Notamacropus eugenii: one gene and its partner. The protein of the gene in region 1 purifies or fractionates together with the protein of each later gene. This does not show direct contact. Links are inferred from orthologs where the notes say so. Each region holds a gene or a part of one and is shown on either strand. Other genes may lie near its edges.

What was found.
Region 2: the proteins of AIFM1 (region 1) and TXN purify together in Homo sapiens (affinity purification with mass spectrometry; 3 studies listed by BioGRID and IntAct, with this or other methods). This does not show direct contact. The link is inferred for Notamacropus eugenii from reciprocal best matches to the Homo sapiens genes AIFM1 and TXN.

Annotation. Positions count from the first base shown.
Region 1 is NC_092879.1:51,898,683-51,906,196, forward strand, and holds the start of AIFM1 (apoptosis-inducing factor 1, mitochondrial), read right to left. Parts: upstream 3,011-7,514; 5' UTR 2,798-3,010; coding exon 2,704-2,797; intron 1-2,703. UniProt on the Homo sapiens protein: Functions both as NADH oxidoreductase and as regulator of apoptosis.
Region 2 is NC_092872.1:98,089,347-98,097,237, reverse strand, and holds the start of TXN (thioredoxin), read right to left. Parts: upstream 3,005-7,891; 5' UTR 2,733-3,004; coding exon 2,709-2,732; intron 1-2,708. Other genes in the region: uncharacterized protein, read left to right, coding at 4,825-4,886, 5,091-5,724. UniProt on the Homo sapiens protein: Participates in various redox reactions through the reversible oxidation of its active center dithiol to a disulfide and catalyzes dithiol-disulfide exchange reactions.

The sequences.
Region 1 (7,514 bases):
ACTTCAGGAAGGTCACAGAGAAGCTCAAGCTCATGCAGAGGAAGGTAACCAAGAAAGGCCATGCTACTTGAGGATTATGCTATTAAGTAAGGATCAGTTGAAGGAGCTGTTTAGCTTGGAGAAAAGATGACTGGGGTGGGAGAAGAATTGTCTTCAAGTATTTATTAGAGAGGCTGCCATGTGAAAAGCTGGGTCAGACTTATTTACAAAGAGGCAGACTCCTTTTTGATGTAAAGAAAAGTTTCCTATCAGAGGTATGTCCAAATGTGAGATGAACTGCCTTGGAAAGTTCTCTTTCACTAGAGGGCTTAAAGGTTGGATGGCCATTTATGGGGTATGTTTTAGAGGGGAGTCTTCTTAGGTATGAGTTAAATTATATGGTGTTGGAGATCAATTCCACCTCTGAGATTCTATGAATTATATAAATCTACGAAGAAGGAGCAAATAGTCAAGAAACCAGAAGTAGTAATACAGCAGCCCATCTCTGAACAAGTTACTAATGAAGGCAAAATAAAACTAGCCAATTCCTTTCAGCACTAACATCACTAAATGCTTTCAAATCTAAGTAAGTGAAGATAATAGCATAAGCAATAAGTATGTATTAAGAAGGCATTTTCCCATGAAATGTTCAATTCCACAGACCAAAGCAATGATGTTTTAAGTTGGAGGTCAAAGTTACGAAAGGGCAAAAAGGTTATACATTCCGTCTAAGAATGTTGTGTAACTTGCCTATGGATAGTACCATAATTTTGGCGTGCAGACAACAGAGATGTCTGGAAACCAGGATATCTGTCAAAAAACAATCCTTTTTTATTGCCGCACCTGAAGTCAGGGTTAAGTGACTTGCCCTCGGTCACAGTCACACAGTTAATAAACATGAGTGTCAGAGACCAAATTTGAACTCCTGTCCTCCTGACTCCAAGCTAGTGTTCTATCCACTGTACCACCTAACTGCCCTAAAAAACAATGTTTTTAAAGTTCCTGACAACAGAGGTGTTAAGATTCGAAGTGTAAGATCACTCAAGATACTAAAACTTCATTCAAGAAGCACTCTTGAGTCAATGGCTCCAGGAAAATGGTGCAAAAACTTAGGCAAACATTTTCATGTCACTATTGATATTAGCAAGAACTGAAGAAGACCTCTAAAAGAAAGATTAATTGTATCTCCTAAAAACTGGTAACTTACTACCAGAAGAGGTCACAGGGTACACAAGAGGTCATGGGGTGTATGTGTGTGTGTAAGTAAAATTCATGAAATGTTCTGATAAATTCATGGATGGCATATGCATGATGGACTAGTAAGGCAGGAATTTAGGGGTGTTTGATTATAGCATTCTGAGTTGGAAGGGACTTTTAATAGATTTAATATAAATCTTTTATTTTCCAAAAGATTAAACTGAGGCCCAGAATGATTTACCTAAGGTTACACAGCTAGTATCAGTAGCAGAACCAGGAGTAGAACCTAGGTCTTTAAAATCTCAGGCTACTGCTTCTGATAGGACACCACTGTTAACTTTTTGAGGTCAACTTCATGAAGGGCAAATATCCTACTTTCCCAGCATCAGAGAAGAATATTAGGCTGAACAGACCATTGAACCACATTATTTACTTTCTAATACTGAGAAGGCACCTTATGCATTGGTTAAAAAACAACTCTAAAATTGGCATTAAAGATAACCACAAAGTCACACCAGACCCTATTTTTCAATTCACTTTTGGCCTGCCCTCCCAGCTCTTGTGGTATTTATTTCATGATTTATATTTACAGTTGTTTCAATGATACTTGACACAGACAGGACTTTTGAATTGTGAAAGTGTTTTCACATCTATGTTCTCGACTTTAAGATAGGTAAAGTAGATGATATGTCTGTTACAGATGAAGAAACTGAGGAAAAGACTATTATTAAATGGCTTAAGTCACATCTATAATAAATGGCAGAGTTCCAGGGTTTTTTCCATTAGACTTCCAAACTTTCACAGTCCAATATTTCTGAAATTCCCTTCCTGTTACCTAGTTGAAATTTTATTCCTTCTCTTCGGGAATCAGGTAAAATGCCACCTCCTTCCATTTAGTATTCTCAGCTCCCACCCGATCAGAAAACATTCCTCTCTCTTTTAAAGTCTCAGTACTTTTTTTGCGCCACTTTTTTTTTGTCCTGGAGCTTCCTGCTTTCTGCCCTCTATTATCCATTCTCTGGGGTCGAGTCTTACTGATCTCCCCTACTTGACAGACTCTCCAAGGGCTAGAGCTAGAACTTTTTTCTGATTCATCTTCCAGTCTCCCCCCGGGGCCTAGCTGGTTTAAGTAGTACTTAGCACACGTGGGTCCCCAGAAGCCCGCTTGGAGCCCCGGGAAGGAAAGGCATAGGGTTGGGAGGGGGTGTTAGCCAGAAGGCCACCCCGGACTGCAGGGGCTGGGCTGCAGGGATTCTAGCCAGCAGCCTGTCAGCTAGGGGGATGGGGGTGGAAGGTGATGCCTCTGAAGGTCAGGCCGGCGAGTCCTGCCTCAAGAGTTTGGAGCGCTCCCAAAAAAGGCGCGAGTGAGCGTGCGGAAGGGGTTTGCCTGCGGGGGGGGGGGGGGGGGGAAGGGGGGGAGAGACGCGGGCCGTGCAGGGGGTTCCCTGGGATCACGGTCAGGGTCCGACGGGTGGGGGGAGAGGAGGGGTAGAGAACTGCAACGGGAGCGTCAGGGAACTAACTTACCTGGAAGCCGGCTCCTCTGCTTCGGGCCACGGACGCTGAAAGTCCGTACCAAAGGCGCCAACCCAGCCACGGCGGTGCTTCCACATCGTAACATGACTACGACAACGACAACGACGACGGGAAGTCCCGGACCAACTGCGACTGCGGCCGACCCGCCGCCTCCCCTTTTCGGCTTTCTCACCCAGCTACTGACCCGTTAACCACAGTCCGCCTCCAAGTGCCACTCTATTCCATCCCAGCCCACCTCGCAGGCGGGGTCTCCCTAGAGACGCATTCTCATTGGACCGATGGAACCGCCTGCGCAGACGCTGCCCTCCAATTGGCCACTGGATAGTGAAAGGGAATGAGAGCTGCGTTGTTCCTAGTGCTGTGCAACCATTGGCTGAGGAAGCGGAGCCACCTCGCGCATGTGCACGTTTCAGTACTCTGGCCCGGGGCGGTAATGTTCTAGGGTGGCGTTCTCAGGGCATAGTTCGGTACCTATTTCTTTAGTTTGGGACTACCAGTTCCTCCTTCTTAGTACGGCTGTTCACTCCAGTTCAGTTGCCCGGTTCAGTTGCAGCGGCGGTGGCGGGACTTGACAGATCCGGGGGCCCGCCTGGTTCCGCCAGTGGACACCCAGGCTCTATGGTAACAACTCTGACTGGCTTCTTCACAGGTCAGAGCCCTCCTGGGCTCCCGAGGCCTTTGGTGACCTTGGCATGTTGGACCTCTGGCCCTCCGGCCTTTTCCCTCTTCCAGAACTTAGGGTTTTCCTTTAATGAAGGTGTCATCCTGCTGTGCCTGTTACTGGCTCTATTACTACCTTGTGCAAGTCCCTTGCCTTCTCTGAACCTCAGTTTCCCTCTAGGTCAAATGAGGTTGGCCGCTATGATTACTTCAAGGTCCCTGACTCTATGATCCTATGCTCCCACCCTCTCCTGGCATTGGGGCCGCCAATGGAGTTGAGAGCACCAGCACATCGATAAGTTGACTTCCCTTGGCTGTATTTTCAGAACTGTAGAATGAGAGGGACTGAGCGGAAATTAATATTTCAGGCACTTGAAATATAAGCAAAATTGGGAAACTGGTCTTTGGAGCTCCACAGAAAATAAAGAAAATTACAAATATTACAAGTAAGTTTCACTATTTAAACATTTTAGGAATGGACTTCATGTCTCCACAATTAGATTTTTAACATCCTAAGGACATGGACCATGCATTTTATCTTTGTATTCTTTACTTCAGTCTAAAGTTGGAAAGATCCTTAGACACCATCTAGTCCAGGGGTGGGGAATCTGTGGCCTCAAGGCCACAGCTGGCCTTCCAGGTCTTCAACTGCAGCCCTTTGGCTGAATCCAAACTTCACAGAACAAATCCCCTTAGTAAAAGGCTTTGTTTTGTAAAACTTGGACTCACTCAAACGGTTGTACCCAAGTACTAGATTCTAGTCCAACTCTTATATTTTATAGAGTAGGACACAGGCCCACGGATGATGGCCAAGGTGACATAGGTACTAAAACATTAAAGACTGAATTTGAAGTAGGTTCTCTGACTATAGAGCCAGTATCAAAGTAAATCACGCTACAATGCCTTCTGGTCCCTCGTACATAGTAGGTATGTGCTTAGTTTCTTGAATGGATAATGCTAGAATATCTTTCAACAAAATTATGGATTCTATCTTTTGGTCAGGTAGCTTTCTTTCCTCTGCTCCATAGTCACAGACTTTATCTGTGAAGGTTTATCCTACCAGACAGGTTGTATCCATGGGGTTAGTTCATAGGCAATGTACCCTAACCCTAGAGACTGCTATACAAAGTATTCTGCACTGACTTCTATATATTTGTGACATGTACTTTTTTACTGAGAATAATCACCTTGACACTGTGAGACCCAAGGGATCACAGATGATTGGTATACCTCTGTGTTATTGGAGAGTAGACACTGCTTATTTTTACATGATATGGATTTGAGAAATGTTGGGGTTTTTTCCCAACCCATGCAAATTAACTAGATGAGTGGTTTTCAGAATGTGGTCCACCAACCCCTGGTGGTCCCCTAAACCCTTTCAGATGGTCCTTGAGATCAAAACCATTTTCATAATAAATACTAAAATCTTGTGTGTGTGTGTTCATCCTTCGTTGTGGAAGAAGACCATGCCATCAGAAAAATAATGACATGACTTGCTCTTGACTTTGTTTTAAGTGAGGGAGGGCTGTGCACGTCACCAGCCTCCCTTCTCCTCACTTCAGAGCCATCTAAATTCAGTGACCAGATATTCATCAGGATGACTAGAGATGACCCAGGATGAGGCAATTGGGATTAAGTGACTTGCCCAAGGTCACATAGCTAGTGAGTGTCAAGTGTCTGAGGTGAGATTTGAACTCAGATCCTCCTGACTCCTACACTGGTGCTCTATCCACTGCACCACCTAGCTGCCCCTACTAAAATGTTATTTGCCTATTAAAATACCATTCCTTTTTTCTTTTTTTTTTTTTTATAATTTTTTTATTTTTTTAATGTTTAACAATCACTGCCATACAATTGCGATTTTATCCCTCCCCACCCACCCCCCACTAACTCCCTCCCTCCCCACGACTGCATACAATTCTGTATAGATTCTACATATACTTTCCTATTGAGTATATTTTCACTATAGTCATGCTATGTAGTCAGACTAAGATAAATGAGAGAATCCGTATAACAAATCAGAACATGATACACAGACAGATACACATACACAAACATGATCTGCTACATTATGTGAGTGACTTCCATATTTCTCTCTCTGAGTGTGGAAGGCATTTTGCCTTGAGGTCCACCATTGGGATTTTTTTTTTTTTCAGGAGTTCTTGTGTTATTACAAAAATCTAAGTCTACCAGAAAAAACTCTCACACACTGTGGTTGTTGCTGTGCATAAAGTTCTCCTGGTTCTGCTCCTTTCACTCAGCATCAGGTCATATAAGTCCTTCCAGGCCTCTCTGAAGTCTTCTTGTTCATCATTTCTTATGGCACAATAGTACTCCATTACATTCATATACCATAATTTATTCAGCCATTCCCCAATTGATGGACATCCCCTTGACTTCCAGTTTTTGGCAACTACATAGAGTGCTGCTATACATATTTTTGTACATGTGGGACCCTTTCCCATTTTTATGATCTCTTGGGGATACAGTCCTAGTAGCGATATTGCTGGGTCAAAGGGTATGCACATTTTTGTAGCCCTTTGGGCATAGTTCCAAATTGCTCTCCAGAATGGTTGGATGCGCTCGCAGCTCCACCAACAATGAATTAGTGTTCCAACTCTCCCACATCCTCTCCAGCATTTATCATTTTCTTGTTCTGTCATGTTTGCCAATCTTATAGGTGTGATGTGGTACCTCAGAGTTGTTTTGATTTGCATCTCTCTAACCAATAGTGATTTAGAGCATTTTTTCATATGATTATAGATAGCTTTAATTTCTTCCTCTGAAAATTGCCTGTTCATATCCTTTGACCATTTATCAATTGGGGAATGACTTGTATGATTATACATTTGGGTCAGTTCTCTATATATTCTAGAAATGAGGCCTTTATCCCCGAGCTTAGCTGTAAAAATTTTTTCCCAATTTACTACATCCCTCCGGATTTTGGTTGCATTGGGTTTGGTTGTGCAAAAACTTCTCAGTTTAATGTACTCAAAGTTATCCATTTTGCATTTCATAATGCATTCTATCTCTCCTTTAGTAAAGAATTCTTCCCTTCTCCATAGATCTGATAAATACACTATTCCTTGCTTCTCCAGTTTATTCATGGTATCAATCTTTATACCTAAATCATGTACCCATTTGGACTTTATTCTTGTGTACGGTGTCAGGTATGGGTCTATGCCTAATTTCCGCCACACTGTTATCCAGTTTTCCCAGCAATTTTTGTCAAACAATGAGTTCTTATCCCAGAAGCTGGGGTCCTTGGGTTTATCAAACAGAAGGTTGCTATATTCCTTGCCTACTGCATCTTCAGTGCCAAGTCTATTCCACTTGTCTACCTCTCTGTTTCTTAGCCAATACCAAGTGGTTTTGATAATTGCTGCTTTATAGTACAGTTTAAGGTCTGGTAGTGCTAGGCCACCTTCCCAAGCATTTCTTTTCATTAGTCCCTTTGATATTCTGGACCTTTTGTTTTTCCAAATGAATTTTGATATTATTTTATCCAGCTCTAGAAAGTAATTGTCTGATAGTTTAATTGGTATGGCACTAAATAAGTATATTAATTTGGGTAGAATTGTCATTTTTATTATATTAGCACGGCCTACCCATGAGCAACTAATCTTTTTCCACTTACTTAAATCTGACTTTATTTGTGCAAAAAGTGTCTTGTAATTGTGTTCATATAGTCCCTGGGTTTGTTTTGGCAGGTAGACTCCTAAGTATTTTATACTGTCTACCCTAACTTTAAATGGGATTTCTCTTTCTATCTCTTGCTGTTGAACTTTGTTGCTAATATATAGGAATGCAGAGGATTTGTGTGGGTTTATTTTGTACCCTGCAACTTTGCCAAAGTTGTTTATTAATTCAAGTAATTTTTTACTTGAATCTCTGGGATTCTCTAGGTAAATCATCATATCATCTGCAAAGAGTGATAACTTAGTTTCTTCTTTGGCTATTCTAATTCCTTGAATATCTTTATCTTGTCTAATTGCTACAGCTAACATTTCTAGTACCATATTGAATAATAGTGGTGATAATGGACAACCTTGTTTCACCCCTGATCTTATTGGGAATGCATCTAGCTTATCCCCATTGCATATAATGCTTGCTGAAGGTTTTAGATAGATACTGCTTATTAT
Region 2 (7,891 bases), on another chromosome or scaffold:
ATGCTATCTACCTCCAGAGAGAACTGATGGGGTCTGAATGCAGATCAAAGCGTACTATTTTTCACATACAGTATTTTTTTGGTCATTTTTTTTCCCTTTGGGTCTATGACAACATGATTGATTTGGTAATATGTTTTGCATGATTGACCATGTATAACCTATATCAAATTGCTTTTCTTGGGGGGGAAGGGAAGTGAGGGAGAAAATTTGGAACTCAGTTGTTTTTTAAAAATCAATATTAAAAATTGTCTTTATATATAATTGAGGGGAAAATAATTTACTTTTTAAAAAAAATACTGGAGTAGTTTGCTATTTCCTTCTCCAGCTCATTTTACAGATGCTGTAACTGAGGCAATCAAGATTAAATGATTTGCTAAGGGTCACATAGCTAGCAAGTGTCTGAGACCAAATCTGAGGAATTTCCTGACTCCAGGTCTAGCACTGTATCTACTGCATCATATAGCTGCCCCAACGGGTATACAGTAGGTGCTTAATGAATGTCCCTTCCAAAATACTACTAGGGCTCATTAGTGAAAGCCCTTATTATGCATAAGATCTGACTAAGCATTAGCACAGGAAAAAAAAGTGTGTGTGTGTGTGTGTGTGTGTGTGTGTGTGTGTGTGTGTGTCTATACTTGGCAAGTGCTAAAGACAATGAACTGGACCTAGAATTACATAAGAAGAAAACAGGCTGGATCGTGCCTGAACAATTGCAGAGGTCTCTCAAAGGTCATAACTGGCTTGTTAAAAAAACATCATTCTCTTGGTATATGTGGCTATGACTAAGTGAAAAACATAATCTCAGAATAAAAATTACAGGTGATCTAAGAGCAGTAGAGATGTGAGTTAAGTGCAATTAGGCCATAGAACATTATAACTGATGTCCTGCCATCAAATGGCATACAACAGAACATCATGACCAGGTATGTGTTGGCTGTTTGTCTGTGCTAGAACCAGCTCATACAGGCTCAAGAGAGCTAATTTTTAAAAAAAAATTTCAGCGTATTTTCACCTTAATCAATTAAGTGCTGCAAGGGAGGGACTGGTTTGAAGGAGATGTTAATAATGCACATTACAGTGAAAAATTGTCTTTACATGTTAATGTAATTTTTTTTAAATAATGCGGAATACACTTAAAAGTGTTGTGGTTAAACATCTATGGATACAACATTAGATATGAGCCAAAAATGCAGGTTGCACTTTAGCAATAGACAGATATAAATTTCCGGAGTACTGCACAAAATATTGTAAAAGAGGAACGACTCCAGTATATCAGAAGGATCTCTTAAAGGGGGATGACAGTCATTCAGGATGAGAACGGCAGGTTTAGGTTACCTTTTCCAAAAGTGAAGGAGGTATTCATACAAAAGTTGACTTTTGTCTCTCCACCGTCCAGAGAATATGATAAACACTTGGCATTTTTTTAAACAAAGCTCTCTAATTTTGTTGTATCCCATATTTCTAGCCTTTTATCACTGTATTCTCCTTCAATCCTTGTATTTAAGAGAAACTCTTACTAACTATTCTCTATCTGCTCCTATTTCCTCCTGCACCCTCCAGGCCTGGAATGCACTCCCTCCACTGTCTGTCTGCTTGTCTGAATCTTCTCGGTTCCTCTAAGGCCCATCTCTGAAGCCACCTCTTCCACAAACCTCCTCTGACCCCCCTTCCTTCCCTAGCTGGAAGTGATCTCTCCTATTCAAATCTTACACGGCATTTTCTCTGGTGTCCTATTTCACTCCTAAGCTAGTATCACATTCTTATCATATTTTATTACCCCTATTGAACTGCAAGCTTTTGGAGCAAAAAGCTTTATGTTGTTTCCCACTTGGTTCATAAGAAACCCTTGAATACTTGTTGAATCGAACTGTCTTCTCTCCTGCCTTTCCTCAGTGACTACCCCTGTATTGAAGCAAGAGGCTCCATTTTGGGGATATCTGACCCAGCGTCATTGATGATCTCAAAGTTGTCTGCATATTCTCCCAAAACGTCCAAAAATCTTTTTCATTAACACGTCTATGGAACTGAATTAAATTAACAGAAAGGAAACAAATCTCACACTGTGATGGGTGTCAGGAAACGAATACTGCCAACAGAGGGCAAGGGAATCGCTGCCCTGAATATCCTGAAACCCTACAGGGCAAGGCAAGGAAGCGCCCAGCCGTCAGGTGCCCCTGCCAGCCGAGTCATGGCCTCCCCCTTCTGCGCACCGGCCTCAGGGCGCAGCCAGCCGGACGTCCCGACGGCCCCGGGCACGGCTGGCTCCTGCCCTGGGGTCACCCCCATCAGGGGAACCAGGGCAGTTCTTCATCGCAGACCCCGGGCCAGGGACAACCACAGCAGCGCAAAGCGGCAGGAACCCGGGGGGAGGGGAGGGGGTGGCCAAAATGCCCCCAAGGCAGGAACGCCGCCCTCGGGGGCGCCAAGGCCCGCCCAGACGTTCCGTCACGGCAGCAGGGCCGCAGCCCGGGCCGCAGGGAAATGACCACCCCCGGGCGGGCTCCGAGGACTGGAGGCCAGGGGGAGGGCAAGGACCAAAGCCAAGCAACAAACACCCACGAAGTGCCAATCTCCGGGCTAAGCCCCGGGCCTGCAGCTCCCCAGGGCGCCGGACTAGGGCACACATGGCCCTAGGCGGGGCTGGGGATGGGGATCGGGGCTCTCCTCCGCTCCCGCCTTCCCAGCTCGGGGGCACCGCGACTTCTTACCTTGCTCTCGATCTGCTTCACCATCTTCTCCGACGGCTCGGGCGGCTCGGGCTGCTCGGGAGGCGCAGGGAGCTCGGGAAGAGCGGGCTGCTCTGGTGGTGCGGACGGCTCGGGAGGAGGGGATGGCTCGGGAGGCGCTGGCGGCTCTGGAGGCGCAGAGGGCTCGGGGAGAGTGGGCTTCTCGGGCGGCTCGGGAGGCTCGGGTGGCTCGGGAGGCACTGGCGGCTCGGGCGGAGCGGGCTTCTCGGGAGGCGCTGGCGGAGCCGGCGGCTGAGCAGGCTCCGGAGGCGCGGGCGGCTCGGGCGGCTCGGGTGGAGCGGGCGGCTCGGGCGGCGCGGGCGGCTCGGGCGGCGCGGGCGGCTCGGGTGGAGCGGGCGGCTCGGGTGGAGCAGGTTTCTCGACAGGCTCCGGAGGCGAGGGTGGCTTAGGGGGAGCGGGCTGCGCAGGAGGCGAGGGAGGAGGAAGATGCTTGGGCGGCGCCGGGGGCGGAGGCCGAGGCGGAGGCGGAGACCGCGCCGACGCGCTGGTCAGGGAGGCCCGGGCGGGAGACGGGGACTTGGCTTTGGAGTTGCCTGCTCTGAAGAGTCCGAGAAACTTGGGTGCGGGTGACTTGAACTTGCTAGGTCCGGGTGACTTGGAAGACGGAGGCTTCTTGGGCGATGCTTCTTTCTGCGGGAAATGCAAGAAAGTAGCGGAGGCTCCGCCTCAAGGGCCCTTTATACCGTGGGCGGAGAAGAGCCCAGGCGACGGCCGCCCGGGGAGGGAGAGGAGGGCTGGAGGGGAGGGAGGAAGGAGGCCTTGCTCGCCCGGGCGCTCCCCTTCCTGGAACGCCCTCCCCCTTCCCTCCTTCGGCGCCCTGGGCTCGCGCCACGTCGCTCGCGTCACGTCTCCGGGGCCGGCCCCGCAGAGCGCCGGCCCCGCAGAGCACCGCCCCTATCGCTTCTCTTTCCCCGCCCCCCGCCCTGGCAACGGCGCGGGCCCGGGCCCAGGCCGCCCTGGCGCTTCACCCTCGGCCTGGTGCCGTCCCTTTTCGGATTTGATTTCCTAATCGTCCCATTGCCCTCGAGGATCACTTGGAGAGGAGTAGGAAAAGTTGACTAGAGTTTGCAAAACGAACCCATCGAGCCGTCCGAAATTTAATTACACTATGAGTAAAAGCCATTTCGTGGAAAACACCCTCTGCTCCAGCCGGCCCACGTGTCCCCTGGGCCAGCCCTGGAGGGCAGAGGGAGGGAGAAAGGGACGAGGCGGAGGGCGGACTGTGAGCGAGGTCCTAGGGCTTGGGGCCGGAAGAGCCCCCTGCTCTGGGCCAGCCCCCGACCACAAATGAGCGCACATGGGCATGGGCAGCCCCGGGACCGGGCTCCGGGGGAGGCGACGGAGAGCGGCGGTCGGAGGACAGGTTAGCGCTCTAGGTCGCGGGCGGGGCTGCCTACGAGGGCGTGGAAACGGAGGCGGGCCTCCGGGCCACCTGGGGAAAACGCCCGGGAGCGCGGAGGCAGCCGAGCCTCGGGGATGGGCTGCTTGGCCCGGCCTGAAGCCGGCCTCCGCCCCAGCGGGGGTGGGCCGGGCGGACGCAGTCCCTCGGACTTCTTGTCCTCGTGGTCTCCAGTCCCCAGGGCCCGGGAAGCGGGCACAAAATGCTGTGTAACGATGATGAGGAAGTCTCCGCGGCGGGCCCCCGCCCACCGCAGGCCGCGCCCTCCCGGAACTTGCCTTCTTTTTCTCCTTTTCCTTCCCTCCTTTTCTCCTTCTCATTTTCCTTGAAGTCGCTGCTGGTGACGCAGCAGATGGGCCCTGGTGCTGGTTTGGGGAGCCGCGAGATCAGGGAGGGCTGAGGGCCCGCCCCGGGGGCCTAGGTGGGAACTCCGAGGCGGCCATGCTCCGAACCGAGATCCCCGCGAGCTCCTCTTCTCCGAACTTTCCGGAGGTGCCAGTTCTATTGTTTGTTCCCGGGGTGGTTTGTGTGGCTGGCTCTGGTTGGCTGCCCCCCTCAAACCACCGGCAACCTAAAATGGTAAAGCCACCGGGTTAGACGGTAAAACGGTCAGTTCAGCGGCCAGATCCTCCCAGGGCTCGGGGGGAGGCCGATGGCCCCGGGCCGCCCCCGGTAACGATGCGGGAGACCAGGGTGCGGGCAGGGCCCGCGGTGCTGGGACAGGTCGTGTTTATCCACAAGTAAGAGAAGGGAAGAGTCATGCAGCAGCCTTGTAAGAAGACTAGGTAGTCTGGAGCAAAGGAGAGCTTTAGAACAGGTTAGAGCAGTGTCACAGCTCTGCTCCTGGGGCTCCTGTGAGCCCTTATTGGCCCCAGCAGGGCATTCAGGGCCCCCCGGCCCAGTCAGCCCCAGCTCCGGCCCAGTCAGCCCTAGCTCCGGCCCAGTCAGCCCCAGCTCCAGCCCCCCCCCGGCCCAGTCAGCCCCAGCTCCAGCCCCGCCGGCCCAGTCAGCCCCAGCTCCGGCCCAGTCAGCCCCAGCTCCAGCCGCCCCGGCCCAGTCAGCCCCAGCTCCAGCCCCCCCGGCCCAGTCAGCCCCAGCTCCAGCCCAGTCAGCCCCAGCTGTGGCCCAGTCAGCCCCAGCTCCAGCCCCCCCGGCCCAGTCAGCCCCAGCTCCAGCCCCCCCGGCCCAGTCAGCCCCAGCTCCAGCCCTCTAGCCCCCCCGGCCCAGTCAGCCCCAGCTCCAGCCCCCCCGGCCCAGTCAGCCCCAGCTCCGGCCCAGTCAGCCCCAGCTCCAGCCCCCCCGGCCCAGTCAGCCCCAGCTCCGGCCCAGTCAGCCCCAGCTCCAGCCCCCCCGGCCCAGTCAGCCCCAGCTCCAGCTCCCACTGCCCCTGCCCCGCACTCCCTCAGCCCAAGAACACCGGGCTGTCTTGGCTTCTTCCACGCGAGACTTATTCCCCGGAATTGCTCTCCCCTGGACCTTGTCAGGCATCCTCTCCTAGGGAGCCTTTTTCCTTTCTCTGTTCTCCAAGCTAGAGGCGACCTTTCCCCAACCCCGGTGCCCATATCGCTTTGTTTGTAGCTCTTCCCTAGGACTTACAAAATACTGGTTCACGTTTGTGTGTGTGCCTATGTTATTCAGGATAAGGACCAGAGGTTTTCTGTTGGTTTTCCACCGCAGAGAGGTCAAACATATGGCCCACAGCTGGGGCCTGGACCAGACTAAAATGCAGTTGGGAAATATTTAACAAAATATAACGTAAAACGTAGATAATGTGACATTTTAAAACGAAGTCAACATGTGGCCCACATGGATCCTTACGTATGATTTAATGGACTCCACTTCAACTTGATTTTTATACCACTGTTACAGAGTACTTTGCAATGAATAGAAGTCTTGTTTAAAGGGAAAAGTGGTGGATTTAAAGTTAAAAGGCCTGGACTTGAGTTCAAGTTCTGCCAACAGCTCTTCAGTGGCTGTGTCTCCTTGATGAAATGATGCCTTCTCTTTGGGCCACATTTTCTTCATTTGTAAAATGAAGTCGGACTAGATGGTCTCTAAGTTTTCTTCGGGCTATAGGATTCTGTGATTCTGAGACTCAGCAGGGTAAGCCCTCAATAAGTATTTGTTAGTAACAGGAGTTACTCATTTATCGTGAGTTTTAAGATTTTAAGTGCATTTTCCCTGTGTGGTCCTCACAACAAGGAAGATGCTGTGATGATGCTCATTGTACAGATGAGACTGCTGACTCCTGGAAAGGTTAAATAACTTTGTTAGAGTCACACAGGTAGTAAATAAATATTTGGGATGAGGATGCAAGCCCAGGTCTTCCTGACTCCAAGTCTAGAGGTTTAACCACTACTGCCAGAGTAACCATGAACCACTAAGAAGTGAAAGGGGACCATCACCGGTAGTCCTGACTGGTAGCATTAGATTGGAGAGAGTGATGCTAATGACTTGGCACAGCTCTGCCTCACTTAAATTCAGTTGGTGAGGAAGTTAAGATGTCACCCCTCTGATGTCATTGTTCCTTTTCTAGAAGGATGAACAACAAGAAATCAAAGAGCCAGATGTGCAGTAATAAAATAGAAAGGCTAATTTTGATCAAATACATTGTATTTCCCAACACCTTCATTGTTATCTTTCAGACAACTGAAGACCATAGAAGTAAAGTTTCTGATAGAATCCTTGAGAAGACTAAGTAGTTAGGTGGACGGAGAAATGGTTGAATGATGGATTGATGGATCGTTGAGTACTTGTTAATTATTCAGTGTCAGCCTTAAAGGAAGTCCTAAGGGAAGTGCTTCAGGGATCTGTATTAGGCCCTGTTTTGTTCAGCATTTTTACCAATTACTTGGATGAAGATGAAGAAGTCAAATACAGCCAAGAAGTTATAGCTCATATGTTGAATGACAAAATTATAATGCAAAAAGATCTTGGTAAGGTAGAATTGTGGTCTAGTATAGCAAGATGAAATTTACTAAAGTAGTTAAATTAATAATATTATTATTGTTCTTACCTGAAAGACTGTCATTGGATTGGGAATTAGACATATTCTACTTGGCCCCAGAGGACAGAACTGGGTGTAATGAGTAGAGGCAGATTTTGGCTTGATAAAGAAGTTAAATGAGCTACCTTTATAAGTAGTGTGTTGCTATTACTGGAAATCTTCAAATGGAAGGTGTATGGCCGTTTGTCAGGGATGTTGCAGAGGGGATTTTTATTCAGATTCAGATTGGACTAGATGTCTCTTCCATCTCAATTCTATGAAGTAGCTTGCCCAAAGTCATGAAAGTAGTCAACGACAGAACTGAACTAGGATCCAGGTCTCCTGACTCCACAGGACTTTCCACTGAATCATATTACAGAAATGCTGATATACATGTGTCAAATATATACATTTCAATGATGTTACTCAATAGACTTTTATACGTGGAAAAGAAAGCTTTCCCTTTCCGAGAGCAGACCTGCACAACTTGGCAGTAGGTGGAGGCCAAAATTAAATAGGCTAACCTTCTTCAGGCAGCAGGCAGGTAAGTAAGACTAGGGACAGACGTGATGGCTGATTGCCACAGGACAGGTGACAAGCAGGAGAATGTGCAGTGGCGACCCCACATTTTTTGTGTGCTGCCTGAAGTCCTTTGGTGGGCTGCAAATGGCCCACTGGCCATGTGTTGTGTGGGCTTGCCTAAGAGTCTCCCCACTATTTGATCATCTGAAGGTCATAACCTGGGTATCTACAGGATTG